Notamacropus eugenii: one gene and its partners. The protein of the gene in region 2 purifies or fractionates together with the protein of the main gene of each other region. This does not show direct contact. Links are inferred from orthologs where the notes say so. Each region holds a gene or a part of one and is shown on either strand. Other genes may lie near its edges. The genes, in order: CTTNBP2, STRN, CTTNBP2NL and MAP4K4.

Region 1 (7,346 bases), on a different chromosome or scaffold from region 2:
ATATCTAAACCACCTGTGGATAATCAATGGTTGACCATTATGAAATTATGAGATGTTATAAAAATGAAAGTAGGGGAAGGAACTTTATTTTTTTCCACTACCAGAATATGTATATGTATATTAATTCCAAGTGCTTTGGGTTTTGCTCTTATAAAGCAGATACAAGAAGCTCAGGTCTCAGATGCTTTCTTATTTAGTGTTCATGAGAAAACGAGTGGGGCTCTATCATGTCAGATGCCAGGGAACAGAGAGGAATGACAGTGATCTGGTACTTTATACATTTTATTACTAAAACTTTGATGAGGTAGCCTGAGTTGATTTGTTAATCAGTAATTTTGTCCTTCAACAAGCACAAAGTCTGAGTAAAACATGGTTTGCTCTATAGAGCTAATAACACCTCCCCTCCCCCAATTTAGTGTAGTAGAGACCACAATGATTACAATCTTCTTTATGGAGGGAGGTAATCTTTTCTGAGATCAGTGGAGAGTCTTTATTTCAGTATAAAATATTGGGAATCCTAACGGCTTTATCATATGGAACTATCTAGGTTGTTCAGCTTATTTAGTTGGAGAATAATGCCAATTAGGCCAAGGTCATGGGTTCAAGGAAAGAAAACAAAAAAATTCCTCAGTCACAGACTGAATTGTTGACTCCAGCCTGTCATCACATAGGTCACAAGGAGGACTGGTTCAATAGAAACTTATCACTACTACAAAAACAAATCCAAATAACAAATCCCAGTCATGTTGGATGCACATACAGGGGAGATTAGTTGGTTCTCCAGTATGATAAATAAAATTCATGATCTTTTCATTTTAATGTTAAATGTAACCGATTTAAAAATAAGATTCATTCTTATTCATTGCCTTCTCCTCCCCCTCCATCTTTGCCCTGCTATCTTTCCAAACTTGCCAATGGAAAATTTACTTCTTTAACATTGGGATGAGTTTTCTATTTAAGTATTTAATGAAGCTTCAGAAGATTTAATTTACATAACCGGTCAGTGTTTCTTTTGATTCAGTGCCACCTCACATTAATGGAAGGTGTGCTTTGTGCAAAGACTCTGAGAAAGGGTTAATTTTCAGTCTCCACACGAGCTGATTCTCAGAAGAGAGTTTAAACTAGCTAGTCCTACTGGTGATGCTGCACTAACTAGGCCATTTTAGTAAAAGGACTTAATTTATAGTGGTCTGACAATTGAACGAGCAAAGCAAAATCCTTTAAATCTCAAGAACAGGAAGGTTAAAGCAGGGCAAAAAAAAAGTTGTCAATTAACCAGTGTACAAGTGGGATTTTTAGAAGTGAAATTACCTTTATTTGTAAGTTCTCTCCTCTCCTTTGATCAAGTTAGGGCTCTTGAACTTTCATTCTAGGGCTAATTCTGTTTTTATAGCCTTAATGCTAATGATTCTGATTCATGACACTGAACATTTTCATTGGGGTCACCAAAGAACCCACAAATGAACCCACAAACGTTTAATCTCAATAACAACAGCATAAACTCCTCAGATGGTACTTCCTGAAGAAATCATGTTACAACATTAAATTATTTCTAGTTCTTAACTCCTCCCTGAAGGTTTTCCATTTCAGGAGTGAGATAGTTAACTCTGGATTATAATCCAACAGCAATACAAGAAAATTGACTGCTTTGTTTTGCAAGCAAATGTTTCCTGAAAAGAAAGAGGAAACTTCTTTCATTTCTCTTAATTCCAAGTTCTTCAGTAATATAACTTTTACTTATTAGGTACTGTTGTATTATCTTGTCGGCAGAGTTTGTATTCTAGGGGAAGGCATCAATTTCAGAGGAATATTTCTTTTTCTTGAGAAACAGGGATGGTAAATCCAAAGAGCTAATGCCTCAAAGAAAAATAAAAAACTTGTATTTATTCAAGAATTAATTATGCCTCAATCTCTTCGCTGAGAAAGATCACTTGACTGATCGTTAACCTGAAATTTGGTTTGAAAATCTTCCAGAAGGTTGAAATTAAAGAGTTAACACTTTTTTAGGCTATGAATCAATTCCAGTTCAAGACCCTACAGGAGAGATTTTCCCTGCCCTGGTTTGTGTTAGATTTGGGCCCAATTTGTAAATTTAGTGAGTAGAGTGTGAAGAACCTATAATTAGAAGTCCCAATATGGATATGTACCTGTCTAAAAAAGGAATATTGGTCCCAGTTAGTCAGAGCCCAGGGTTGGAAATTATAATCTAATGATCTCTTAGAATTTCAAGTCTATTTTTTCCTAAGGAGTCAATAAATGCTAGTCCATTGCTACTTTACTGAAACACAGTTTAGATGCTTGGATTTGATTTCATGTTTTCAACACATTTTTAGGATATCTAGTAATTCTGACCATATGGTCCTGATAAAGGGATAGATTTGTAGGACATGGTAGTTGGCAGGAAAGGGCATGAACTGAATCAGATGGGGGGGGCAAAAGAGTATGGAGCAAACTAATATTATGCAAGATCCCTTGTGAATTATATAGAAAAAAGTGATCTTTTAAAAAATATTTTATAAATTTGTATTAGAAAAATCTTATAAAAATGATGTCCCCCTCCCCCCATTGTTAGTATTTCAGACTACAAAGTTAATTCCTTTTATTTTTTTTTTCAGGGCTAATCATTTAGTGATCAGAATGGAGAGACCAATGCCTGGCACAAGATGGAGCTTCATATATGTCTGTTAATTGATTGGTGGACTGGAATACTAAAAAGACACACTATGATCCTCAGGGCAAGATCAATAGGAGTACAGTCAGAGGCTAAATCTCTAAGACCACAAAGGTTGAGATGGCTCAGTCGGTACAAAGCAGAACTAGGATTAGAATCCAGATTTTCTGACTCCGAATTTAGCGCTTTTCCCACAACATCACACTTCCTCTAAAATGTTTAAGAAGTGAGGTAGACCAGTATCTTGTCCCCATGAGAGGACTCTTTGGCTAGGGCTAGAATCACCCGCATCAACAAAAAATTAACATTCATACAACACTGTAAGGTTTAGAAAGCTAATTATCGCATTTTCTATTTAACCAGCACGGACGGTCACACCCTACAATAGTATTATCCCCATTCTACACTTGGAGAAATAGAGACCAAGTAACTACAAATAATACCCTAACAGACACTAGTAAGTGTCTGAGGCAGAACCAGAAAGCTGATGCTCTTGGCATCAAATCTCTACCCAATGCATAATGACAGAAATGGGAAAGACTTTAGAGGGAATTTTTAGATGAGGAAACAGATCTAGGGAAGTACTGGTCCAAGGACACATAGTTTCAAAGTTCGGTTTGAAACACGAGTCTCTTGACTCTGAGCCCAGTGCGCTGTCGGAAGCTGTGTCTAAAGTCTAAGTGATGAAGTGGGATGGGCAGTAGAGGATGGCTGGCTAATCAATGCAGGGGGGAAGCCTCCTGGATATAAAGTCTAAGAACCATGGTTCAAATTCTTCATTTACAGCCCATGACCTTGAACGCGTCACTGCATCTCTGGGCCCTCCTTCTGGATCTGTAGCTTTAAATCACGGTACTATGAATAGGAGACCAGGAGAGAAAATTTCGGTTTAGAATTGGTGGCCCTTGGGAGGAGGGAAAGAGTCGATCCCTTTGAGAGATGGGAGGTTTGACAAGTGACTTTAGCCGAAGGGATAAAAGGAAATTTCCGAAGATGAAAACAAAGCCTTGTCTTTGGGGTAGTGCCGGGCTGGGAAGGGAAGGCGATTACTCCTGACCTCGGTCAGAGTCAGGTTTGGGAGCCCTGAGATCGAGTGTTACCGCTGCGCCGCTGTCCCGTAGGGGGTCCTGTCAGCTTCTGCCCGGTGCCTCAGACTCCCCATCTGCCTCGGGGACAGACCCACGACCTAGAGCCCGGCTTATTCCTAGTCCGTTTCCCTGCAAAGAGAAAGGAGTGAGGGTGTGCTTTGGAAAGACTTGGGCTGTCTTTCAAACTGAGGAGGCGGGTGTACGATCAAGGTCACCCCCCTCTCCAGAGACCCTTCCACCGGGATGCCTGGCGGCGTGGGTTCCTGCAGCCGGAAAGAAGGGAGGCTCGCAGCGCGAGAAAGCGGGGGTGCCCGCCTGCACAGTGCCGCGGGCCCCTCCCTGGCACCCGGGCGCCGCGCTGGGCTGGGCTCCAGCGCACAGCGGGTTAAGGCGCAGCGGGGGCGGGCAGGCAAGGGGAGGAGTGTACCGTGCTTTGCGGGCCGGGGGTGCGGAGCTGGGAGGTGCGCAGAGCGCGGCGCTCCCGACTCCTTCCTCTCCTCTGGGTTAGTCTGTGTGCCCGGCTCTCCGGCGCGCAGGGGGTTAAGCGCCTCCCGTGCAGAGCGAGGGGGCCGAGCTGGGGAGCTGCAGCTCGGTGCTCGCATTCAGATCCGCTAGAGCAGGAAGATGGCGACGGACGGGGCGAACTGCGAGCCCGACTTCTCCCGCCACCCGGAGGACCCGGCGGGAGCCCCGGCAGCGGCGGCGGTAACCGAGCTCCTGGGGCGCGCGCGTTGCAGGCGGTGGTTCGGGGTTCTGGGGCTTAAGGTGGCGGGTACCGCGATCTCCTGGGCTCTGCAACCTTTTTCCCTCCCGGGAATACCTTTCGTCCCCACGCCACACCCCTGCGACTGGAGGGGTGGGGCGGGAGGTGGCCGAGGGCTGCTCCCGACCTTCCCTCGCAGCTGGAAAGCGCCGGGTCCTTTCCTCCTGCCTTCCTCGGCGGGGACTCCCCCCGGGGCACCTCTCCGGAGCCCGCCCCTCTAGCCGCCCTCACCCTTTCCCTCAGCTTACTCTCCTCGGTCCCACCCTCTTTGCACGCCCTCCTCCTCTTCTCCCCCAACCCTTCCCAGTCACCCCAACCCCTGCTGGTTTGGCCGAGGCTGAATTGTGGTGTGTAGCAGCGAACTTGACCCCCTATTGTTTGCATCTCTGCTGAGCGCGTGTTTGTGTGAGTGTGTGTGTGTGTGTGTGTGTGTGTGTGTGTGTGTGTGTGTGTGCGCAGGGGCGAGCCTTCGAGCTGGGCGCTTGTCACTGGCCAGCGATCTCGGAGATTCGGGGAAGGGGAAGAGGATGATGTCTGGTTAGGTGTAGGACAGGTGTGCAGAAGCCTATTGTGTGTTTGAGGATGCTTGCAGATGCCAGTGGGGAAAGTCACCACAGAAATCCACGGGTGCATTGGGCTCGGGGCTGCCAGTGACCGGGCATTGGCACTGCCTTTGACTCCTTGAAACCCCTCCTCACCTCTTCCCATTCCCCCTTTTAGGGTTGTACTGACAGAAGCTGGGGGTGAAGGGGGGGAGAGAAACAGCGACCAACGGAGACTGAGACAGAGACAGGTTCAAGACGAGGTTTTGTAGTTAAATCGCCTTTCTCCCCCCCCCCCCCCCCCCCCATATGCCCCGTGGTACCTGTCCTTCTCCTCCCCCGCCTTCATCTTTGTACCTTGTGGGTGGAAATCAGAGCAGGTGACAAGCCCCTACTGTTGAATAGAGCTGAACTCCACGTAATGGGTGGAAAATGTTTTCAGTATTTAAGGAAACAGCCTGGCTGTTTAAAGCCGCGTGGAGCCTGTTTAAAAAAGAAGGGGGAGAGGGGGGCCGCAGCTCTGCCTGCCTGCCCTTGGCCCTTCTCTTACTTCAGTTATCCAGTGTGGGGTTCTGATGAAGTGAAGGACATCAGAATTTCTGTTAACTCTTCTGTCTTGTACCATACACTTCCTTCTTGATTCTTACTGCTTAAACTGAGCTACATTTCAGTCAAAAGCAGGGGACAGGGCCAAGAGTAAACAGATACAATCTTTTCAACTTTCCCTAGCTAGCCTGCTTAATGTTATTTCCCTCCCTTAGAACCTTACCACTGGTGTAGGGAGAGAAGAAGGAAGGGGTGGGTGGGGGTGAGGGTAACAGGGACCAGGGATGGAGTGCCTCCATGGCCCTAACAAGAACTGAAAGGAGAAATATACAAGAGAAGGGACGATTTAGAAGAGAGCAGTCGGAGAGCTATTGATTTCTACTTCTGCAACTGCTAGATTTGGGTTTCTAGACTTTTAGAAGAATCCCTGTATTGACGTAGGAAATTTGTTTAAAAAGGCATTAAGATTGCCAATGAAATAGTCCAATTTATGATGTGGAAAGAAAACCAGTAGCCGCATGTGAAACACAATCGAGACTGCTTTTAAGCCAGAAAGCAATTGTTTTACTGAAAATGACCAGGAATCTTCCGGTGTGATGATGGATAAGGTAAAGTAGTGAAGGTGAAGATTTTTTTGATCTCCTTGCGTACTTAGAATAGGCTTCTTTGTTATGACTCTGAGGTCTTTAATCATCTACTGAAAGTAAAGCCAAACATAAACACTTGATTATGGACTCTATCTGATTGATATATTAGTTTAGGCCATAAATTCAGATGGTGATGGTTAGGTTGATTTTTCATGATGTTGTTGCTAGTTCTTTTTTTTTATTGTTTAATAATTCACAAAATCCCAGGAGTGGCTTGTGTGTATGTATGTGTGTGAACGTACAATTAGTTTGAGGTTTAATCTTGAGACTAGCCAGAGAAAATCTTAACCTGCTTTTTATTTCCAAAGATTCCTTTAGATTAGATATATTTTGGTGAGATTAATCATTTAGCCTTTTACAACTTTTTTTAAGTAACCCTTTTTTTAATATCTGGGAAAGCTTTTTTTTCTTAAAAATGTTTTTTTAAGATTTGTTTACTCATTATGTCAGCCACTCGCCATTGTCAGTTTAGTTGATGGCCTGAAGGCTAATTTTAAATTAAAGAGGAGCTGGAGAGGTGATATTTTCACACAAATGCAATTTATCACCCAGTATTTAAAAGCAAGAGATATTTCACACTCCTCCATATTCCTGGCTGATTGAGTCCTTTTTGCTACGTTTTAAATTCTGTATATTTTGGAAAGAATGGCTCTTTATATCTTTTTTAAACCCAGTTTCGTTTTATTTAAAATTGGGTGTGTATTTCTTTTGCTAATGATGACTTAAGTGATCCTTAAAAGCAAATTAAGTTATTTTTTGGAAGTTGGGTGTTTTTTTTCTGAAAGTTGATCTATTTGGATGGTTGCCTGGAAACAAGTTGAATTTATAGTTTTTCAGTTTAATATGATTTCCAGGGGAGTGTTTTTAATTCAGGTTGTGAAAGTTTTGTTTAGCTATTTAAATCCTAAAAACCTAGCCAGTGCAATGAAAGGGATGGTAACGATTAAGACTGCCAGTATTATTGGTGCTATCATATCAGTTATCAAGTGCCGTCAACCATCCCAGGAGTCCAGTGGTGTTTTCAATTCCTTAGCCAAATATTGTTATTCTGGGAATTCATATTATCATTCCACAGTGGAAATAACTCCC
Region 2 (7,639 bases):
CACAAGTGATATTCTGTAGTAAATGGCATGTTTGCAGTTTTGTAATTGTAAAAAATGCAAAGTCCCACTTCTTATTTGTTGCAGACAACATGTATACATGTAAATATATACAACATAAATACAAGTTAATTTTTAAGGAAAAAACACTAGCAGCTGGGGAGATCAGGAAAGGACTCCTCTAGGAAGTAGGATGAGTTGAGCTTTGAAGTAAACTAGGGATTCTAAAATGCTGAAGGGAGAAGAGTATATTCCAGGTGGGGGCAGGATATGAAATGTGTATGAGAAATGGCAAGAAAGCCAATTTGGCTGAATCACAAGAGTATATTAAGGGGAGAAATATATCAAAAATAAGAGTAGGTTGAAGTTAGGTTGTGAAAGGCTTTAAATGCAAGCTTATATTTGATCCTAGAGGTAAGAGAAAACCACTACAATTTATTGAAAAAGGAAGTGACATGGTTAGACATGCTTTAACATGCTTTCTTCTCTGTGTGGACTATTGGAGAGGAGAGAGATTGGATGCAGGGGGACCAATTAGGAGACTCTTGCAATAATCCAAGTAAAAGGTGGTGCAAGCCTGAATGAGAGTGATTGCTGTGAGTTGAAAGAAAGGGATAGATGTGAGAGATGGGTAAATACAATCACAAAATTTGGCAGCTGATTAGATATGCAGAGTAAAGGAGAATAATCAAGAAAAGCAGATGTGTCTACGTGACTGACAGAATTTAGGAAGAAGGATGAATATGGGGAGAAAAATAATGAGTTTTGTTGAGGTTATGTTGAGTTTTAGGTTCCTAGCAGACATCAGTTCAAAATGTCTAACAGGCAGTTGATGATGTAGGACTGGAGCTCAGGAGAGAGACTAGGCCTGGGTATATAAATCTGGGAGTTAATGGTGAAGAGATGATCATTGAATCTGTGGATTTGGTAAAAGGAGAAGAGGTTGCCTTTGGAGTGCAACCACAATTAGGGAGTAGGGTATAGATAATGTTTCAACAAAGAACACTGAGAAGAGGTAGCCAGACAGGTGGACAGAGAACTGAGAGAAAGGAATGTCACAAAAGCCCAGAGAAGAGGGAGTATTCAGGAGGGAAAAGTGGCCAATGGTGTCAGATGCTGCAGAGAAAAAAGCAGAGGTTTGAGAACAGGTCGTCAGATTTGTCAATTAAGATATCATTGGTAACTTTGTAGAAAGCAGTTTCAGTTGAAGCCAGATTGCGAGAGGTTGAGAAGTGAGTGAAAGGAGAGAATGAAATGAGAAGAGAAAGGGACCCAGGATAAAGTCGGGAGGCAACAGGTATAGAAAGCTTCTAGGAAGAAGCTTCTTCTCCCTGAAAGGTTGGAGGATGATAATATGAGTGAATTGTAGATTCAAATGAGCATTTTGGTTTTTTTCAAGCATGTCTATAGGAAAAGAGAATAGATCTTGAATAGAGAGATAAAAGGGAAATGCTTGTGGGAGTGAGATAATATGGCTTACAAATGAAACAACTCATTTATTATGGCATACAAATGAAGCAACTGATTTATTCCTAAATATATAAAATGAATAAAAGAATAGATATCAATATATACTACCACCATTTGTATGAATCCTGGTTCCCAAACATGATCTCTTTACTAAGCAGAGAAATGGAGGATGCAAAAACCATATTGATTTAGAACATCATTTATAACATAGAGGATGGTGGTAGAATATTGTGGCATAGTATCATATCAAAAAAGTGGGAATCAGTTGAGGGAAAAATCAGGTTTATGGAAAACTTCTTGAGAAGACTCAAGCCAAATCATCAAGAGCATTTAAGGACAAACAACTAGCTTATGAGGAATGGAAAATATCTATCAAGATTTCTATAATAAACTCTTTTCTATATCAGTGACAATGGAGTCACAACATTTAGATTCTGTTATTACAATCCCCTTTGCACTTTATAAAGAAATAGAAATGGCACTAAATACATAAAAAAGAAAAGTACAACTGAACTAAGAGCACCTAAGTGGCACAGTGGATAGAACTCTAGGTATAGAGTCAGTAAGACTCATCTTCCTAAATTCAAATCCAGCCTCAGACACTTCCCTAGCTGTGTTATCTCAGGCAAATCATGTAACTCCTGCTTGCTTAATTTTCCTTATGTATAAAAATAGGAACAAGAATGTCTATCAGAATTGTTGTGAGGATCAACTGAGATAAAAATTGTAAAGTGCTTAGAGAAGTGCCTGGGAAAGAGGAGGTGCTATATAAATGTTAGCTGTTATTATTTTATGAAATAGACCAAGTAATACACAAGGAGGTCTATTATGAGGATGTTGAGGGATCAATTCTCAAGATTTCTGAGAGAAAGACACTAAAGACTTGAAAAAAATCTGGCACCTTTTTATGCTGTTTTAAACTCTAGTCTAAATCCTAGTCTTTTAGTTTTTGCTGGGTTAGTCCCAAAAGATCATTCCTTGCCTCTCACTCAGAACATTAGTGTTGAGCTGGCTGCAAATGGGATGTCAGGGTGCCTAGTTTCCAATCCCTTCACCTAAAATGGAGAACAAGTTCAGAGGCCTAGGACCAAGACCCATTTTAATGAGTTACATGTTGGTCTTACTGAGGAGGTTCAAGCCCTTTTCCTTTAATAATAATAGCTAGGATTTATATCATCTACATCAAGCATCTTACACTGACAAAGTGCTATTGTTATCCCTGTTTTTGCAGTTCAGGAAACTGAGGCTAACAGATTAAGTGACTTCTCCAAGGTCACACAGCTAATTGTCTGAAGCTGGATCTGTACTCAGGACTGATTTGTAATCAGCGGAGTCCAACCAAAAGCAGCTCTTCTGAAACATTGTCAGAAGAGAGTAGGCTGAGGCTGACTCAGGTCATTTTGGGTACCCCAGTTCTGCCTACAGAGACAACTGAAAGACTTCTCTTAACCATTAATTAGAAGACTGGAACCATTTACAGAGTGTCTATATATGCTCCACAGTCTCTCTAAGCCACTTCCATTTCATATTATCTTGGAATCAGGATGATTCCAGGAGCAAGTTCTCCAATCTCTTTCTCATGGGGAGATTCCAGCTAGCCAAACATCAAATGTACTCTACCAATGGACCATTCATGGAAGAAATTTAATTTTATTGGATAATATTCCCTCCTTACTATGTGCATGGGCCTTTACTAGGGCTTTGGAAGGAGTTGTCAGAAGAGGTGATCACCAAATTAGGAGTTGGAACAAACAGTGATACTGGGCTAGCTTTCCAGATGACTGGAGCAGGAGTGAAGCCCTCTAATCTTGGCAGAAAGGAAGAAAGTGATTTCCTAAGTTCATACAGGTTTTCAGCTGAAAGGGGCCCTTAGGAGATCATCTATTCTGCCATCTTTCCAGTATTACAAAAATTTCAGTTGCGAGTTCTAGATGTGTAGATTCAGACTTAGGACCTACATGAATGACTTTGACAAGTCAATCACTTAGGTCTTCAGTTTTCTCAACTATCAAATACGGGAGCTGACCTGGAAATTCTCTTCTACATCCCAATCTAAGATCTTATGAATTAGCCCAGCAGTTCTCAAATGTTTTTATAATTAGTATTACTTTACACTCTTAGAAATGATTGAGGACCACCCTCCTCTTTGGGGTTCATGTGGTTTATATCTACTGATATTAACCATGATAGAAATTGTGTCTTATTATGAAACTAAAATGTTATCATGAAAATAGCTTTGATCTCGATTATCCCCTGAAAGGATCTCGCTGACCCCAACTGGTGAGAGGACTTAGAAAGCCTGGGTGGGCTTGGGGTGTGGGAAGAGAACGGGAATTAAGGAAAATCCTGCCAAGGTTTGGAGGGAAGTACTCCTTCAGGTCAGTGGAGGCTTCAGAGACAACATAAAAAGATCAGGCCGGGAATGGAAAACAAAACAAAACTCGTGACCACCATTTTCGTGACTTTAACTGAAATTGACGCAGCAGGGTAGAGAGGGACCGGTCCTGGGACCAATTCCCAAGACGAACTTTCGCCTAGAAGGAGGACCAGCCAGCCAGTATAACCCCGGGAAACGACAGCTCGTGGGGGAAGAGCCGAGTCGTCGATCCTTTGGTGCGTAGAGGGATGTGATATGTTTGTCTCCGCGGATCTGCGTGGGTGCATGTGCGCGACCGTGCGAGAGAGAGCGCTGTCACAGACGACTTCCTTGGGGTGAGGGTGCGTGTGCTACTTAGTTAGAGACGGAGACCGAGCGAGCGCAGAGCCCGCGAACTTCCGTGGGTGTGGGTATGTGCAAGAGAGCGCGGCCCAAGAACTTCCTTCCGTGCGTGTCGGTGTGTGTCCCGAGAAGCGGCCCGCACCCGGCTCTGCCAGGCTGAGGGGCGGGAAGGAGGACTAAGAGGTCTCCGCCACAGCTAGGCTCAGACAGCTGGAGTCTGCCAGCGCTAGTTTCTAAAGAATCCTTCCAGGCCCCCTAGCCCCTTTCCCAACTCCCGCCGATTAACGCCGCCACCCCGAGACTACATTTCCCAGCAAGCCCTCGGGGCGCGCGCGCTCTGCAATTGACCCATTTCCCGGCCCGTCAGCAGCTCGGGGGGCCGGCCAAGCGCCCGGGCAGCCGCTCCCTGCTGACTCGGAGTGTGGGCGGGGAGAGGAGGGCGGAGGGAAGAGGAGGAGGCGCCGTTGCTGCCGTTTGCCTCGGCGGCTGCGAGAGCCGGCACCGGTCCGCAGCAGGCTGCCGCCACGGCCGCCATGGACGAGCAGGCGGGGCCCGGCGTCTTCTTCAGCAACAGCCACCCGGCGGCAGCCGCGGGCGTCAAGGGGCTCGGGCCCTTGGCAGAAGCGGCGGCCGCGGGCGACGGGGCGGCTGCGGCGGCGACGGGGGCGGCCCGAGCCCAGTACAGCCTCCCAGGGATCCTGCACTTCCTGCAGCACGAGTGGGCCCGCTTCGAGGTGGAGCGCGCCCAGTGGGAGGTGGAGCGGGCGGAGCTGCAGGTAGAGACCCTCCCGGCCCGGCCCTCCTCCTCCCGCCTCTTTCCTCCCTCCTTCCTCCCTCCTCGCCCCGCCCCTGCCGCTTCCTCCCAGCCTCCCGCCTGTCCCCTCCCCCTTCCCTCGGTTCCGCCCACCCCGCCGCGAGAGCCCCTTCACCTCGCCCCACCCACTCTGCCTCTACCTGCTCTAGTCCCCGGCCGCCCCTCCCGTGTAATGGAATGAAATGATGTTTGTGGAGCGCTGGGCGCGGCGCCTGGACGGAGGAGGCCCTTGGGAAATGCCTCTTCCCTGCCCTGCCCTGCCCCCCCCCCCCCCCCAAAGCTGCTCCCCCGTCGTCTCCTGGTCCTGCTCGGAGCTCGGGTCTTTTCCTCCTTAGTTGAAGATTGATAAGCAGGGTCCCGGACCGCTCCACTTCCGAGAGTCATGCCCCGCGTCGGGGGGCCAGAGCCAGAGAGCTCCCCGCAGGGTTGAGGGGTCAGCGCTTGGCCAGACGTGGTGTTTTCCTGTAGATTCTCTTCTCGGTGAAAGAAAGGAAATGAGAGGACAGATGAAGTTGTATGGCCAGAGGTGGGAAACGGAAAAGGGAAAAAATAGTATCTTCAGAAACAGAAAATTCCTATATATTCGAATCTCTGCCTTATGCCGCAGTGCGTTTCACCCACTGATTTTAGATCCGAGATGTCTGAATGAATGGAGGGTCAGAAGTCAAGTTCTTTACTTAAGGGAAACTGATTTGTTAAGATTTAAAAACAAAAAAAACCCCCACACCACAGATTCTCTGGGGGGAAACAAACAGAAACCTCGACCAAATATAAAAACTTTTTGTCAAGAGGTTTTTTTCCAGATTGAATTTTTCTTTGAAGGAAGTTGAGGTCTGTTAAAGGGAGTCACATTAGTGATAGGCTGTACAACGCCTTGTTTTGAGATAAGATATGTCCGCTCCAGACTGGGTGTTCACAGGCTTTGCACAGTTAATCCCTTCACCGTGCCTTAAGTCCTGAGATAGAGCGATCTTTAATAACTAAATGTTCAGTCCTGTGGTAGGCACTGTCCTGGGGATACAGAGAAAGGGGAAGAAAAGAGGGGGGGAGGTTCTGGCTCTCAAGGAACTCATCTTCTAGTAGGGGAAACACCATGCAGATAATTATATAGAAGGTACCATCTAAATGAAAAGTAACTCAGCAGGGAAGACCGGAGCAGAGGGGGGATGAGAAAGGCCTCTTGCAGAAGGTGGGATTGGGTTCTCTATGTGCCTGCTATGTCTTGAGTATAGCCTGTGGTTCCTTGATATACAGTTTACCTACTTACGTGGGAAAAGCTGAATAGTACTGTGGAAAGAGGACAAATTTGGAGGGCACAAAACTTGTGTGTTTGAATCCTGCCCCCTTTACTTCCTGTCTTGACATGGGCAAGTCACAGCTTCTCTGAGCCTCATTTCCTCATCTAGAAAACAGGGAGTGTGTGAGGATTAAATGATCTCTTGTTTTCATTGCAGCTCTAAATCTATGATCCAACAGGTATGTCCTGTTTCCTTGATAGAATATAAGTTCCTTGAATGCAGATCGTCTCATTTTTTTATTTTGTATCAGTATTGCCTAGCCCAGTATAGATATTTAGTAAATGATGAATAAATACTTGTTGATTGGATACTCTGGAAACAAGGATATCACCAACTGAATATCACCTTTTTTTAAAAATGGCAACTTTTCCTTGTTAGTCTCCAATATAAGTGGTTTGTTCAAGTGCTCCCAATTACTGCTTCTAAACAATCTCATTCCCCCACCCACAAAAAAAACCGGTTAAACAAAGCAACTTAAGTGATAATAACTTGTTTCTATAACTTTTATTTGGGTATTTGCATTTTAATTGAACGTAATTGAAGAAGAACTGCTGTACTTTAGCTGGAACTTTGATTGTACCATGTTGATGCTTTCACCATTTGATATGGCTTTTTTTTTTTTTTTTTGGTCTTCCTTATCTTTCCTGTTCCCTCTCCTTCCCTCCACTTACTGACTAGATCCTAACTACTGAACAGCCTGGAAGCTTTGTAAAGCTCAGAGTTCCCATGCAAGTCCTGTGGCATGTAATATTTAAAAAAACCTATGGATTTCTAAGTTTTGAAAAGGCTTTGTTTAACTTTACAGAAATCACAGGGTGGGTGGAAGCATACCGTGGGGCTTATCTTTTTAGACTTTAGCTTCTCGTATGGGGACTAGATGATCTTCATAATTCCTTTTAATTAATATTTGTTAATAAAAGACCTCAAGTTTTGGACTTGGCGAGTTGAAAAAGCATGAAAGGATATATTTTGTAAACATTATTTAGTTTAATTTTCAAAAGTTTATAAGAACATATTGTGTTTCAAGTGGGTCAGCTAGATAGCATAGTGGATAGTCAGGAAGACCAGAGTTCAAATCTTGCCTCAGATACCACTTAGTGACCCTGGCCAAGTCACTTAACCCCTGCCTAAAACTAGAGAAGGAAAAGGCAAACTACTCCAGTATCTTTGCCAAGAATAGATACTTGGTCCACAGGGTCATGAAGAGTTGGACACGACTGAACAACACCAACCAAAAAATGTTTTAAGCTCTAAGCCTGGTATAGAAGACACAATAATATAATACAATAAACATTTATCAAGTGCTTACTATATGCTGGGCACTGTGCCCACTGGGCATAC
Region 3 (7,961 bases), on a different chromosome or scaffold from region 2:
TCTTATCAAAGAGTTATCTTGGTAGGTCTACACCAAGGTGACAGGTTCTCAGTCTTTCTCTGAGATGAACAAGACCAAACAGGTGCTGTAATGATGACCAAGACATACAAAATGCCAGTTTTTATTTACTCTGCCAAATAATCCAATAGCGTGATGGGCCTTGGCAATTCATTTCTTTGGCTTTATGTCTGTCATCTTTTTTTGTTCTGCATCTTGATGAGCCTGATCATTCCCTTTGAGTTTCTGTAGCTCTAGTTGAGGCGCCCATGTATTAATCTCTCCATATACTTCTCTATGTACATAGTAAACAACTCTCCAAGTGCTTCCAACCAGCCTCAGATCTTTTTTGCTCTTTCTGATGATTTTTGAGAACAATCTTTAAATAGATCTCTGTAGAAGGATTGAAGGCTCCAAATCTACAACTCACAAATCATTACCCTGGGGAAGTTTAAAATGTACTTTGTAATTGGAATTGACTTTCTCAGTATCCCCTCCACTTTGCACAGTTGGCTGTATAACCTGGGGCAAGTCACTTAAGCTCTTAGTGCCTCTGTTTCCTCACCTGGAAATGGGGATAATAATAGCACCTATTTCACTAGAGTGCAGTGAGGGTCAAATGAGATAACATCTGTAAAGTGCTTTGCCAACCTTAAGGTCCCATAGAATTGTTACCTATTATTATTATAGCACATGTTGTTCAGTAGTGTCCTGCTCTTCGAGACTTTATTTAATGTTTTCTTGGCAAAGATAGTGGTATGGCTTGCCATTTTCTTTCTCAGCTCATTTTACAGAAGAGGAAACTGAGGCAGACAAAGCTTAAGTGACTTGTCCAGTTACTTAACACCCAGCTAGTAAGTATCTGAGGTCAAATTTGAACTCAAGTCTTCATCACTGTAGGCCTAGCCTACCATGTAGCTGCCCTATTATTAGCAAATAATAGGTATTTAATGATGCTTATTGATTTGACTTAGAAGTAAAAGCAATAATAATATCTACGGGAAATGTACACCCTCTGTGACTGGTCCTAAGTAATCACTTTGTCATAACACTACACCAACATTAAGGGTAACTTACAAGTGAAAATTAAGGAAGTAACGTTAAAATGTATGATGAATTGTTACACATGCAAAGTGTTACCCTATTGGATGTCCACTGACAGTCCAATGGCACTCATGCTAATGGAAATTCCAAAATACTAACCACATACCATAAATTACAGTGAGCGGAAAGCACTGGACTAGTAGTCAGAAGGCCTGAGATTGAGTCTTGTCTCTGCCTCTCAGACTACCTTACTTTAGCGGGAGGTCACTGCACCACTCTGTAAAATGAAGAGATTGTACTACAAGATCTCTAAGAATATGGAAAGAAATAAGGGTTGGGCAAGCGGCACAGTGCTGAATTTGATCCGGAAGACCTAAAATTCAGAAAATCCTCTAGCAGACACTAGCAGTGAACCTAAGCAAATCACTCCATCGCTGTCCTCCTCCCTTTCCTCAACTGTAATAATGTAGCACCTCCCTCCCGGATTGTTGCGAGGATCAAATGAAATATGTGTTAACTGCTTAGCTCAGTGGTTATCGGCATAGAGTAGGCGCTTAATAAATGCTTTCTGGAGTGTACACTCAGAATATCCTTTACCTTAGTGGCATATGCAGTTTACCTTGTTCAACGTACTGCGATTCTGCAGGTGAACCAAACTACATCGTTTACCTTACTATATTTTCAACTATAGAAAAGATCTGCAGCATCTAATAGTGGGTGTGGATCGAGAAGAAAGGAACCAAAGGCCATTAAACCAGATTAATCATAAACCCTCCCACCACTGGACCAGGATTTTCTTGAAACACTTCCTGCCTTTTGTTTCAAGATGTACACCTTTCAAGGGGATCCAAGTATCCCAGAGCAACCGGCCAACCTTGGGTCCCTTATTCACATTCCTACAGCGCGTCCCCACGAAGGATCCTAAGTTATCCGCTGCCTGTTTGTATTCTACACACTCGGTCAAGTCCGTCAATTAGCCAACTTGGGCAGCGGCGAGGCCCCAACAAGGAGGAGGAACCTCGAATTCCCCAGGGAATTCGTGGAGGGAGTAGGGAGGTGGAGATCAAAGGCAGCAAACCCCACAAGACCGCAGCCTAAGGACCGACCTGGGCTCCCCCAAAGCGGGGACGGGAGGAGGGAGGGGCAGCTCTAAAGCCCGGGAGACTCCCTTTGCCCAGGCCAGCTACATGGGCTTCCTCCCCGGGCTGGAAGGGGAGGAAAACCAGGGCTTTCGGCTCGAGGGAGAAGCGAGGTCCGGGGGGCCGACTGCCGGGCTGGCATTGGGATGGGGAGGTCTTTTTCATTTACGGACGCAGGTGGGTGTGAGGGCACCGACCGAAATGGGGAGGGGACAGGGAGGGAGGGACCGAGTTGGGGCAGGTGGCGGGCTGGGGGGAGGGGACTGTCGGGGCTGAGAGGGGCGAGGGGCGGGGATGCGGGGAAGCCCTCTTCCAGAGAGGGGTGCAGAGGGGAGGGCTCCCCGTAGGGGGTGGATGGGGAGCGGGGGAAGGGGTCTGCGGCTGGACAGGAGCTGGGGCGGGCCCGGGGATCCCCTCAAAGGTTGGGGCGCCGCCTCCTCTAGGAATGGGGGGCGCGGGCAGAGAAGGAGGAGGGCCCCGCCCCCTCAGGGGATGGGGTGCTAGGGACCGGGGTGGGGGGAGGCCGGCAGTCCCACCCTCACCTTTCTCTCGAGACCCCGGTCTCCCCGCAATCCCCAAGTGCCCGGCCCAGTGGCTCCTACCTCTTCCCCGGCGCTTCGGGCTCCGCTCCCCGCCACCTCCGCCTCCCGCCTCCCATCCACGGTCCCTCGCCTCCCCTCCGCCTCCTTCCCTCCCCCCGCCGGGTCCGTGCCTTGACAGCCTCCCGGACCAATTGTCACCTCAGCCTCGCGGCTCGCTGACCAATGCCCGCCGGGCGGAGGCGGGGCTTCTCCAATGTCATTCAGGCTCCTCCCCGGGCCCCAAGATCCCTTTTGTTTGGGGAGAGCCGGGCAGGGATTGAGCTCGCGTCACTTCCGGCGGGAAGAGCTCTCCTCCCAGCCTGGCGCGCGGCTCGGCTCTCGCGCCCCATCCTGCTGGGCTCCATCGCCGCTCGCCGGGCCGCGGCAGGGGGCGTGCATGCCTTCGCCTGGTCCTCGACGGAGCGGGAAGGACTTGGCGTTCTTTCCCGGGATGATGTTCCCGGCTTGCAGTTGTGCCCCGCGGGGCTTGGGCTTTAGGATTCGGATTCCATCGCCCAGCTCACTAATACTCTCATTTGTGATCTCCTTCTGGTACTCACTTTAAGAACGAGACTCTTCTTTGTCCTTGGCTGCCCTAGCGGAGATGCCTTGGGAACGGCCAAGGGGGACAGCAGATCGCCCTTCCGGTCTGGACCTTGGCCTTGCCTGCAGCCAGACCCCACGTGTTGGCAGTGGGAGGGTGGTGGAAACTGAGTGTGCAGTGGGATGGTCCCATAGAATGCAAATGCCTTGAAGGCAAAGACTGATTTTTTTTTTTTTGGTACCTCCCAAGGTTTAGCGCTGTCAATAGACATGGATCCCACCATGTGCTATGGGGATACAAAGGCCAAAAAAATAATCCTACCCTCAAGGAGCTCAGGAGGGTGACAACGTGCAAGCAACTATGTGAAACCCAAATATAGATATGCAAACGTGGACATATGTCCATATGCCCGTATGTACGTAAGTGGGGAAGTAGACATAACCAATATCTTGGGAAGATTCAGAGCCTTCCATCTTCCAAAGTCCTGATTTCAAGTTCCGTCTCTTGAAGGACATTACTGATGAGATTGAATTAATCTTGGTCAGATCTTACCCCACTTGCTTGGAATTTAATCTAAGGTGGGGGAGCCCATTGTGTTCTACTCAAACTTGGGTGGAAGTAGATCCTTTGGTCTAGATAGCCCAAAGCTGCGGGTGAACTGAGTTTGGAGATAGTTTCTCTCTCCAAGGGTAACATGATGTCACTCTCAGCCCCCCATTGAACACCTCTTCTTTGAAGGGTATATGAACTGCGAGCGCACTGCCATGATTGTTTTTGCTCCAAGGGGGCCATCTGCACTGGTCCTGATCTATATCTTGCCAATGGATCCAGATATCTGAGGAGGAGAGAGTGAGGCTGGTGACTTTGCACAGACTTCCCTCTCAAATCAATTCACTTGCAAGTCATGGCATCATCTTTCTGATGTCTTGGTTCTCTTTCAGAACAAAGGTCAAACAACATCTTTGGTCTAAGAGAGACAGCCAAAGGACTATCCTTTTATTAAAAACTTGCTGACCTTATTAATAAAATGATTAAATTACCCAGAAACTATGCTTCTCAAACTTTTTAATCACCACAATATGGAACTCAATCTAATGCAAACAACTATGCAAAAACAAGATATATGCACATGTCATATATGTATATACATGCTCACATGTGTATGTGTAATACATATACACACATATCCTATGATAAACAAGAATTAACCAATAGAGGGAAAACACTAGATTTAAGAGGAATTTGGAAGGCTTCCAGTACAAAGTAGGATTTTAGCTAGGACTTGAAGGAAGTCAGGGAAGCCTGGAGGCAGAAGTGAAAAGGGAGATCACATCAGGGATGGGGGACAGCAAGTGACAATGCTCAGAGATAAGAGATGGAGTATCTCTCAGAAGAACTGCACGTAGAGTATGGAAAGTATGAGGAATTGTAAGATACAAGTAGACTGGAAAGACAAAGAAGACTGGAAAGACAAAGAAGACTGTGTGGGGTGGGGAGGGCAGGAGGGTAGATTATAAAGGGCTTTGAATGCCAGATAGATCCTGGAGGTGATAGGGAGCCATTGGAGTTAATTGAGTAGGGGATGTGGCATGATTGGAGTTGCATTTTAGGAAATCCACTTTAGTGGATGAATTGAGGATGAATTGGAGCAGGGAGAGACTTGAAGCAGACATATTCACCAGTGGGCTGTTTCAATAGTGGCCTAATTAACACCAAGAAAACACAGGTGCTCTATCAGCCATCAGCACACCATCTATACAAATGGAGAAGCTTTGAATGCTGTGGATAAGTTCACTTACCTTGGTAGTGTACTTTCCAGGGATGTACACATTGACAATGGGGTTGACGCACACATTGCCAAAACTAACTCAGTGTTTGGGAGGCTCCAAAGAAAAGTTTGGGAGAGAAGAGGTATTGGACTGACTTCCAAGCTGAAGGTCTACAGAGCTGTTGTGCTGACCTCATTGTTGTATGCCTGGGAAAAATGGACAGCCTACCAGTACCATGCCAGGAAACGGAATCATTTCCATTTGAACTGTCTTAGGAAGATTCTGAGGATCACCTGGCAGGATAAGGTATCAGATGCTGAAGTCCTTGCTTGAGCTGAACTGCCAAGTATTCAAACTATGCTTCAGAGTGTGTAACTCCTATGGGCTGGCCACGTTGTTTGAATGCAAAATGTACATTTGCGACTGTTTTATGGAGAACTCACATGGGGCAGGTGATCACATGGTGGTCAGAAGAAGTGATACAAGGATGCTCTCAAGGTCTCTCTCAAGAACTTTAGATTTGATTATGGGACTGGCACAGGACTGCTCAGCATGGCATGCCCACATCAGAAAGGGTGATGTGCTCTATGAGCAAAGCAGAATTGAGACAGCACAAAGTAAATGTAGAATGTGCAAATTTGGAGTATCTACCCCAAATGTTCACATGGACTATCTGTGCCCAACCTGTGGTAGAGCATTCTGAGCTCGTATGGGTCTGATCAGCCACAGTTGGACACACTGTAACTTGAGTTTATCATAGTAATGTCATTTTGGTCCTCGTGGAGAACCAAGGACAACAACCAACCAACTTCAATAGTCTAGGTGTGGTTAGGTGATGAAGTGGATAGAGTACCTAGAGTCAGGAAGACTCCTTTTAAGGAATTCAAATTCAGCCTCTGACACTTACTAGCTATGTAACCTTGGGCAAGTCACTTTTCCCTGTTTGCCTTAGTTTCTTCGTCTGTAAAATAAACTGGAGAAGGAAATGACAAATCAGTCACAGTATCTTTGTCAAGAAAACCCTAAATGGGGTCGTAAAGAGTTGGACATGACTGAACCCTCCCCAGCTAAATAACAGTGAGACAAGGGGGTGAATTTGAGAGATGTTGCAAAGGTAAAATCCAAAAGGTAAAAAAAGGTAAAAATGTTGCCTTGGCAACAGATTGGTGTGTGTGTGTGTGTGTGTGTGTGTGTGTGTGTGTGTGTGTGTGTGTATGTGTGAAAGAGAGAGAGAGAGGATCCAGGATGACTCTTACTTTCTTCACTTTTAAAATGAGAGAATTGGATAAGATGATCTGTACTATCCCTTCTCTCTCAACTATTTTTATGATAAATTTTTATACTTTTAAATCTGTCTCTCCCAAACTTCTATCACTCTTTCTCCTACCCCCCACACCCAGGCCAAGCATAAGGGATATGTAGATCAAAAGGACCTTAGATATACTCCAAAATCTAATCCCCGTTCTATAGTATCAGCCCTTCAAATAATTCAAGACACCTTACCAAGGGTTTCCTCCGTTTTTATGGACTGCTTGGAGCACAATCCCTGCTGGTGCTTGGAAGACCAACACTGAGTGATAGAGTAAAGATGTCGTGAGTGAAATTGCTTTTATGAGTACAATGGAGGTCAAAATCTCAGGATTCCATGATGGAAGATTACACCATCCAATCTGTTTCACCGCTATATTAATAATCACAAGAGGGACAGAGTAAGAAAGTATAGTGTAAACCTAACAGGACTAAACAGAAAAAAACTATTCAGTATGACAGCCAACTTGTTTGTGGTGGCCTAATGGTGTCACCTTGTATATGAAGGACAGCAAATTCATTCATGGATTATCTAATTCTTGGATGCTTCTGGATATAGCACAATTGGTAAGGGAAGGATGACAGAATCAGAGACCACCCTTCTCTGCCCTTTAGTCTGCTATTTGCATTCTGATTCGAGGGTCCAGGGAGGGGACTGGAACCTCAGTTACTATACTAGAGGCTGCTAGGAATATAAAAATGAATGTTATGGATCCTGACTTAAGGATTCTTATAGTAGGAAAAAGAGGGGGAAGAAAATGATTGAAATGTTCAAATGCAGGTTTTTCCAAAAGTTTTCGTGCAGTTTTAAGTTTTTAAAACTTAAAAGACTTTGGGGATACCTTGTATAGGCTAGGTGCTGGTATAGATATAGGTCCACAAATAGTTTCATTTCCTTCTCCTCCCATTTGCTCTGCAATGCAATGAGGAAGTACCACATTCCTTGACAATGGGGAGAAGCCCTGGCTATTTTCTGCCTATTCCTGAATCACCAGGAGAGCCAGCCCGGTGATTCAGTCTTTCCTCCCCACACTCGTTGCCATCGACCTCTCCACCCAACCTTTGCTCCACTGAAAGCGGGAGTGGGAGTTCTGTTCTGTGACTTGTTTCCTTTGTAACAACAAGCAAAGTCTTCCCATACTTCCAATGAGTTCCCTTCCTGTCTCCTCCTGGACTTGTGTGGGAGAACCCCAACATGAATGATATCAGCTCTGTTTGGTGTTTTCTGGTTACTCCTACTTTTAATTTATTACTCCAGGGGATAGTGAGTGGGTGGGGATAGTACACCCTATCTTCTAACAAAGTCTACAGTTGGCAGAGCCCAGGCTTTAAATGCTTTAGAGGGGAATAAAAAAGAAGCAGAAAGCACTTGGGCCCTTAGGGAGTACCCAGTCTTATGGGAGTAATATGACCCCACAAAAGCACTTTATAAGGAAATTTAGAAACAAATGCAAATGAGCACATGCCCTACAAACAGATAGTATCTTAATAACACCTTAAGGTGGGATACTTACTTTTTCAAAGTATTTTCCTATCACTTACTTCTTCCAGATTTACAAATTACAAAGCTTAAAAAAAG
Region 4 (7,364 bases), on a different chromosome or scaffold from region 2:
GAAGCATTAGAGAGGGACCTTACTGTTGGTAAACTTTAAAACACTATAAAAATGTCACCAATAATAATAACTATAATTCTGTATAAGAATATGAGGCGAACACTAAACACTTTAATGAGTCATGTTTCCTGACTTTGAAGTTCATTTCTTTTTCCATTATTCCAACATGGGTAAGGAGATGAGTTTCTTCTTTATCTCTTACCCTTTTTTCCTCTCCCCCTTCACCTCTGCCTCACAATCCAAATCAATCTAATTTAATCCAATCTAATCCACTCCAATGCAAGAAAAATTTATTAAATTTATTATTTATTATTATTTATTAAACACCCCACTATAAGCAAAATATTGGAGGTAAAAAGACAAAACAAAAAAGCAATCTTTGCTTTTAAGAAACTTATTTGCTTATACAACATGAAAACAATTGACTATTTCACCTCTCATTCCAATTAATTCCCAAATCTTCTACCTTTCCACACCCTTTCAAACTAGCGCAAATCTCCAAAAGACCCTAACCTCAGATAGTCTCTCTCTTATCTCCACAGATCTACTTCCCTCCACCCTACCCTTGCTTAATCCCTTCATAGATTGAAAATATATTTTGACTATGGAACTCCTACCATTTCTGCAATAAAGGAAAAATTAGGAAAAAAGTCAAGTAACATGTGTAGATGTAGACTGCTGGCCTAATTGGATACTATTGTGTTATTGACAGTGCATTGTTCTGAATGGGTGAAAATTTATTGCCTGTCTGTCCTTCTGCAAGTTGTGAGGAGGTACATTTACATTTGACTGCTGGCTAAACTCATTGGGGCCATCTCCTAGACCATCAAACTTCTGACTATTACACCTAGGATATTTATTTTCCCTTAAACTTTACTAATTCTCAGAATTTCTGGGTTTTTTTCCCCAGTCCTGTATGAGCCTGAGTAGGTCACTCAATGTGTCATTTTCACATCTCATTTTCTTCATCTGGTCCTATAAGGGCATCTAACCTTATCTCCAACAATAAGCCTTCATCTCTAGGGAAAAAAAAAGCTAGTCTCCCTATCAAAGTCCTCAGCCTAGTTTTCATTTATACTATTTCCCTTGCATAAGATAACCATCTGGCACTTAATTATTTTAGTGCCTTGCATTGTTAGTTATATTTTTATGTATTCTATATTTTACGTCTTTCACAGTGAAAAGAGTATGAAAATAAGAAGATCTGGGTTTTCATTCCAATCTGTCACTTATTACCTAGGTCAGTATGTGACCATAGGCAATTGGTTTAACCTGTCCTATCTTTATCTCTAAAATGGGGATAAATACACTCTTATCAACTCCCTCCCTAAATTCTGATAAGGAAAGAACTTTTTAAATTATTAGGAGTTATAGAAATGCGAGTTATTCCTTTCTTCCCAGCTGTATTATAAACTCCAGGAAAAGGACCCTGACTTATTACACACCCACAGGGCCTAGCACAATGCACTTCACTCTGTGGTTTTTTTGGTAACTGTTTTACTATTTCAGGAAACGTCGGGCATGCTTTATCTCATTTCCTCCTCTGTAGCCTTGTCCTTCACTACTGCCACACTGCTGCCAAACACAGGGTACATTTTCCTTTCCTTTTCCAGTTCTGTAACCTTTAACTATGAGCAAATTAAATTCTGCCGCTCTCCCAGAATGGGATACACCCATTTATTTCTCTATGATTCTACTTATTATCCCTGCCAACCAAAATAGTCCTCCTGTATTGTCTGCCTTTGTTGTTGTTCAGTTGTGACCCCATTTAGGGTTTTCTCAGCAAAGATGATAGTGTGGTTTGCCATTTCCTTCTCTAGCTTGTTTTACGGATGAGAAAACTGAGGCAAACTTGCCCTGGGTCACACAGCTAGTCTAAGAGCAGATTTGAACTCAGGAAGAGATGTCTTCCGGACTCCAGGACCAGAAAGCATTTACAGCCATTGTGCCACTTAGTCTCCCTCTATTAGCATGTAAACTCTTGGAGGACAGGGGCTAGTCTTTGATTTTTTCCTTTCTATCCACAGCAATGAGTACAATACTTGGCACATATTAAGTACTTAATTAATTCATTTTTCATTCATTCATAAATACTTGTCGGTTAATTCCTACACACAAGGAGTTTACAATTAAAATCAAACTGACAGACAAAGCATGTACATGCCAGTTAGTTGTAAAAAGGCAAAAAAGTGGTAAATGACAAGTCCAGTTCTATGAGACTTTGGAAGGGGCCATTCTAGTCCACAGTGGTCAAAAAAGACTTCTAGGAGATAGGATTTGAGCTAAGCCTTGACAGAGTCCAGACAGAGGAGTAAAGAGGTCTGTTATCGGAAGTAAGGGAGGAGAGCGTGGCCTAGAGATGAAGAAATTTGAAATTATGGTCAAAGGAAGGTGACAGATCTGTTGGCCATATGGAGTATTCTTGGTGGCAGGCAGTGGGAGATCAAGTTGAACAAGTCGGTTAGAGGACCAGATTATAGATGGTTTGGGATGACAAGCTAAGGAGTTTATCCTGTACCCTGTGGGCTACTCAATGTTTTTGAGCAAAGGAATATTACAAGGAAAAACTGCCTAGGAGAGTACAAGCATATGGCAGACACTCAATAAATTCTTGTTTAATTGGACTGAATTGCCTAACTTCCAAGTGTACTGGTAAGGTTACCTTCAGAGCCAGTTAAAAGACTTTCTGAGAAGTTCCGACTCCCTACTCTGGCCACAAAAATATTAAGGTTCACACTAATAAGGCATCACAAAGAAAAGTTAGAATAAATACATCGCGGGTCTATTTTGATCGTTGCTACTTTACTAGAAAATCCTGTGATGAAATAAACTTAAGGAAAACAATTGAGATAGAACAATATTTAGGAACCATGAGCGGAGGTCTGAGAAGAAATAAGCTCATTTCTCCAGAAGGGGAAAGTGGGAAAAAGAGAGGGTGGATTTTGCTCTCAGAAGATTCTCCAATCCTTATAGAGAACACCAGCAGGCCCAGCCAGCCTCAGTGGGACACACCCACCGCCCGAGGTGTTGGAGGGGGAAGGAAGGGGTTAATCCCGTTCTTGTTCTTTCCTGGGGAGCCCAAGTGTTTTCTTTACCGTTAGGGATTTCTTGTTTGTTGCGTTTCTTTGGGGGTGCTGCTGCTCATTTCCAGTGTTCAAAGCCTTAAGCTCGGTGCCCCGGAGCACATGGTCCGGACCATGTCAATTTCCTTTCTCTGACAATTACAGAGCTCTCCTGATTTTCACACTGGTTTTCTCTGGGATCTTCCCGTCTGGGAACACAACGCACACAGACCCTCTGCCTTCGTTATTATTTCTGTAGTCGGCCTTTAAACCCCCCACCGCAGCCTAGCATTCTTCTCCAGGTCCGGCCAGGCTGGAGAGAGGCCGGGCACGCCTCGGCGGCCCGGGACTCACTTCTCTATTGTTCCCCGCCACACCCCTGCTGAATATGGATACATCCGAGCAAGTAGCGACTCCCAGACCGACCCGGAGAAAGGAACTGCTCAGGATTTTTCCTTCTAGTTTACCCAGAAGTGCTTTGGGGCGTGTGAGTGTGTGTGTGTGTGTTTCCGCTGGCTTTTCCTGTTGGAGAAGGAAAGGGGGAGCTGTTTTCTCTCTCTTCTCATAATCTAGTTTTTTGTATCCTTTCTCTCCTCCTCTTTCTCCTCCTCCTTTTTCTCCTCCTCCTCCTGGGTTATCTTTGTCTGGCTCCCTTGGTCCCTGAACTCTCCCCAGCGCCGCAGCTCCGAGTCCTTGGCCGCTGTGGATGTGGGTGCCGTGCCCTCCGCTGCACCGGCGGCACCGGGAGCAGCAGCGGCGGGGGGGCTAGCGCCGACAGGCAGCCATCGGCGCTGCCGGGAGCCGAGGCTCGCCCAGGCCGGAGGGGAGCCGCCGTCCGAGGCCCTCCACCTTCCTCGCCCGTTTGTCTGGGAGGAGGAGGGGGGTGCAGATGCGAGCGCGGCCGCTGGGCGTGGAGGAGGCTGAGGCTTAAGCCGGGAGTGGGGGCAGAGCCTGGGGGCCGTTGCTGCCACCTCAACATGGTGTAAACCCGCCTCCGACGCCCCACGCTCCCAGTTTCCTCTCTCTTCCTACACACACACACACACACACACACACACACACACGCACACTGATAGACAGACGGACAACTCAGATCGGGGGAAATAAAGGCTCATCCCCGGGCAGCGAGCTATCCGGCGGCGGCAGCAGCGGCGACCGGACCGGAGCAGCAGCAGCAGCGGCGGCCGGACCGAGCAGCCGGAGGAAGATCCGAGCAGCAGCAGCGGCAGTCGCCTCAGCGCCGCCTCCCAATGAGGAGCAGCCTTGGGCTGGCGGGGCTCGTCTCAGTGTGAGGAGCTGCTGCCATCGACCATTAGCCCTTTATAGAAACAATTCCAATTGAATTTCAAAAGCATATATCTATTTTTTGCAAAAAGAGAAGATGGCGAACGACTCGCCTGCAAAAAGTCTGGTGGACATAGACCTCTCCTCGTTGCGGGTGAGTGCCAGCGACAATGAAGCCGCCCCCCCCCCCCCTAATCCTCCCGTCTCCAGCAGGGTCCCCCCTCGCCTGTGCTCTCTGCACCCTCACTCCTTTCACACACACCCCCCCCCCCCCCGCGCGCCCCGTGCCCAGCCCTCGCGGGTCCAGCCGTGTGCGTGTGCTTGGGGCTGGGGTGGGGGTGCCGCCTCTGCCGGCCTCCCCTTCCTGCCCCGCTCTGGGTGGTGCTGCCGGGGCGGGGGTGGGGGGGGGGAGAGTTGGAGGCTGCTGGGTTGATGCTTTTCCTTTGTTTGCATGTATTGGCATGTGCGTGGAAAAATTAGGGCGCAACAGCTGCACCCAACATCCTCCCGGCTCTAGGCACCGTTGTGGGTTTTTTTGCAAGAGCCCCCCCCCCTTCCCCTCCATCCACCCTCTACGTACACTTGGACATAAAGCAAGTTCTTTATTCCTTTGCTTTAAAGGCCAAACTAACTTCTTTTGTATGCCTCTCATCTTTCAACTCCCCTCCTAAAAAAATAAAAACCAAACCCTCCCTTCTTTCCTCTCCAGGATCCTGCTGGGATTTTTGAGCTGGTGGAAGTAGTTGGCAATGGCACTTATGGACAAGTCTATAAGGTTGGTGTCTGAGCCCTCTTTGTTTCCCGTGACATTTTGGGGGAGGGCAGGAGGCGACTTGGCTGCACCAATTGGTCAAGTAAAGTTTGGTGGGTTTCTGTATTAGTGCTTTATTTTCAGCCCCCTCCCCCCAAATATCAGGTTTACTGTCTCACTGGCCTTAAAGGACCTCATTTTCTGACTTTCAGATAGGGAAAGAAACTATTCTCTCAGGCATGTACTTTACTTGAATAAGAACGGGGGTGGGGGGGGGTGGAAGAACGGAGGGAAATGTTTTCATAAGGCAATTTCATTTTTTTTTTTTTAAGACTACCCAGTTGAGTTTGTGTAGCTTAATTAAAATTCAGGAATGTTGTAATAGGCAGGCATTGCTTACATTCATTTTAAAGCACTGCCTTGGCCTTCCTGAAATTGTCATCTTGTCTCCATGTTTGAACCTCTTCCAAGTGCTCAAGGTGCAGTTTGGTATTAACTGATGCTACTTTCTAGTTTAGCTTGGTGTACATCATGCAGTGTACTGACTGAAGGCTACCTTGATTGGAAGTGGCCTGGGGTGGGGCTGAATGGGGACAGGGACCACTGTCCAGATTTAGGCAACAAAAGCAGGAAGGATTATAGTGTGAACATTATAAAATCTGAATTCCAGGAAGAACCTGTTTGACAAGTGCATAATTAAAGCAGAAATCGGGGAGAGTGAGAAGTGTTTCACACTCATCCCAAGTCTTATTTTGTTTTTTTTTTTTAAATGAACAGTGAATGCGACAGACAGGTCTTGAGACTGCATGACTGTGCAATGAGTAGCAGCTACCTGGTGTGACTAACAGTTATCGTATATTTTAACTAATACGTGGTCTTAAAGAATAAGCTGTAGCAAATAGTAGTAGCTTGTTTTATATAGCACTATAAGGATTTGCTAAGCACTTTCCACAAAACTCTGTTAGGTAGGTAATGCATTTATTGGTATAGGATCATAGAACCTGAGCCAGATCCAGTCCAACCCCCCTCATTTTAAAATGAGCAAAGAAACTCACAGATATTAAGGGGCTTGTCCAAACCTCACATGTAAGTCTTAGAACAGGGATTGATACCTAGGTCTTCTGACTCTGGGACCAGTGCTCTACTAAACTATACTACTTGAGAAATAGGAACAAAGCCTTGAAAACTGAAAACAAAAGGTTACATTCTCCTTTCCAGTAGTTTTTTTAATCACTTATATGACAATCCATTCTTGTAAAAAAAAAAGTTGTATGGCTATTTTCTTCTAGTGAACAAATGTATTTGAACAGGAACATTTTTCGTTATATAAATATTGAAACTTGAGTTTTTGTACTTAAGGTTAGAATCACCACCATGTGCATTACTTTGTCTTATTTTAAAGATAGTTTGGACATTTAGAATCTTAAAAGCTTAGAGTATTAGAGGTGGGATTCTTCAGGTCAACCCCCTCATTTCCAAGTGACTAATCATTTTTTCTTCTTTACATATGTTTCTATCACCTGAGTTCTCTTCAGCCATGTCCAGTACTGTGATTGTGAGCCCTCTGCAGTTAACACATTAATGGATATTTGTGAATGGTCTCCATTCGTTGTGTTCACTCATCTAGGCCTTGGTAGGGCAATAGGAGGACTGTTGACTACTGTAATCTGCTTTCCATCTAGAAACAAATTTGCCTAATTCAGTTTAGAAGTTTTGGGAAAGTGTATTTTTCCTAGTGTGTTGTAACTTCCGAAGGCCCAGATGACTGGCTTAAATGGACTTAACGACATACAGAGTGAACACTCTTTTCAGGTCAAATCTAAGTTGTGAATGGACACTTCTAGATGATTTTGCAAAAGCATGTTGTTTATCTGTTTATCCAGTTCAGTTTTGTTTTTTAGAGAGTGGGGTTAGGGAGTAGGGGACCTTATGGGAGCTTATTTCTGTTAAAGAAAGCAGACATCAGCCTGGTTTTAAAATAGAACTCAATGAAAGAGAGTAGATTAACATGAACTACAGGTAGGTCATGTGGGTCTGCAGAAGCAAGGTACTTGTTAAAATCATCTGATGCTGGGTGAGGCCTTTTATTTCAACCGTTAGAAATAAGGTTTAGACATTTATTGTTACTAAAACTCTTTAGGTTGCAAGTAATTTGAATTTTTTGCCCTCCAGATTCCTTACTTGTCTCTGTCTCCCTCTCTTTTCTCCTAGCTCCCTTTGGATTTTGAAACAAATTGGTTGAATATTACATTTGGGCTGTATTTGGA

What was found.
Region 1: the proteins of STRN (region 2) and CTTNBP2 purify together in Homo sapiens (affinity purification with mass spectrometry; 3 studies listed by BioGRID and IntAct, with this or other methods). This does not show direct contact. The link is inferred for Notamacropus eugenii from reciprocal best matches to the Homo sapiens genes STRN and CTTNBP2.
Region 3: the proteins of STRN (region 2) and CTTNBP2NL purify together in Homo sapiens (affinity purification with mass spectrometry; 5 studies listed by BioGRID and IntAct, with this or other methods). This does not show direct contact. The link is inferred for Notamacropus eugenii from reciprocal best matches to the Homo sapiens genes STRN and CTTNBP2NL.
Region 4: the proteins of STRN (region 2) and MAP4K4 purify together in Homo sapiens (affinity purification with mass spectrometry; 4 studies listed by BioGRID and IntAct, with this or other methods). This does not show direct contact. The link is inferred for Notamacropus eugenii from reciprocal best matches to the Homo sapiens genes STRN and MAP4K4.

Annotation. Positions count from the first base shown.
Region 1 is NC_092874.1:134,964,180-134,971,525, forward strand, and holds the start of CTTNBP2 (cortactin-binding protein 2), read left to right. Parts: upstream 1-4,333; 5' UTR 4,334-4,383; coding exon 4,384-4,464; intron 4,465-7,346. UniProt on the Homo sapiens protein: Regulates the dendritic spine distribution of CTTN/cortactin in hippocampal neurons, and thus controls dendritic spinogenesis and dendritic spine maintenance.
Region 2 is NC_092872.1:541,646,668-541,654,306, reverse strand, and holds the start of STRN (striatin), read left to right. Parts: upstream 1-4,628; 5' UTR 4,629-4,719; coding exon 4,720-4,962; intron 4,963-7,639. UniProt on the Homo sapiens protein: Calmodulin-binding scaffolding protein which is the center of the striatin-interacting phosphatase and kinase (STRIPAK) complexes.
Region 3 is NC_092873.1:291,455,168-291,463,128, reverse strand, and holds the start of CTTNBP2NL (CTTNBP2 N-terminal-like protein), read right to left. Parts: upstream 3,005-7,961; 5' UTR 2,921-3,004; intron 2,913-2,920; exon of another isoform or gene 2,783-2,912; intron 1-2,782. UniProt on the Homo sapiens protein: Regulates lamellipodial actin dynamics in a CTTN-dependent manner. Associates with core striatin-interacting phosphatase and kinase (STRIPAK) complex to form CTTNBP2NL-STRIPAK complexes.
Region 4 is NC_092877.1:173,756,276-173,763,639, reverse strand, and holds the start of MAP4K4 (mitogen-activated protein kinase kinase kinase kinase 4), read left to right. Parts: upstream 1-4,355; 5' UTR 4,356-4,443; coding exon 4,444-4,500; intron 4,501-5,055; coding exon 5,056-5,121; intron 5,122-7,364.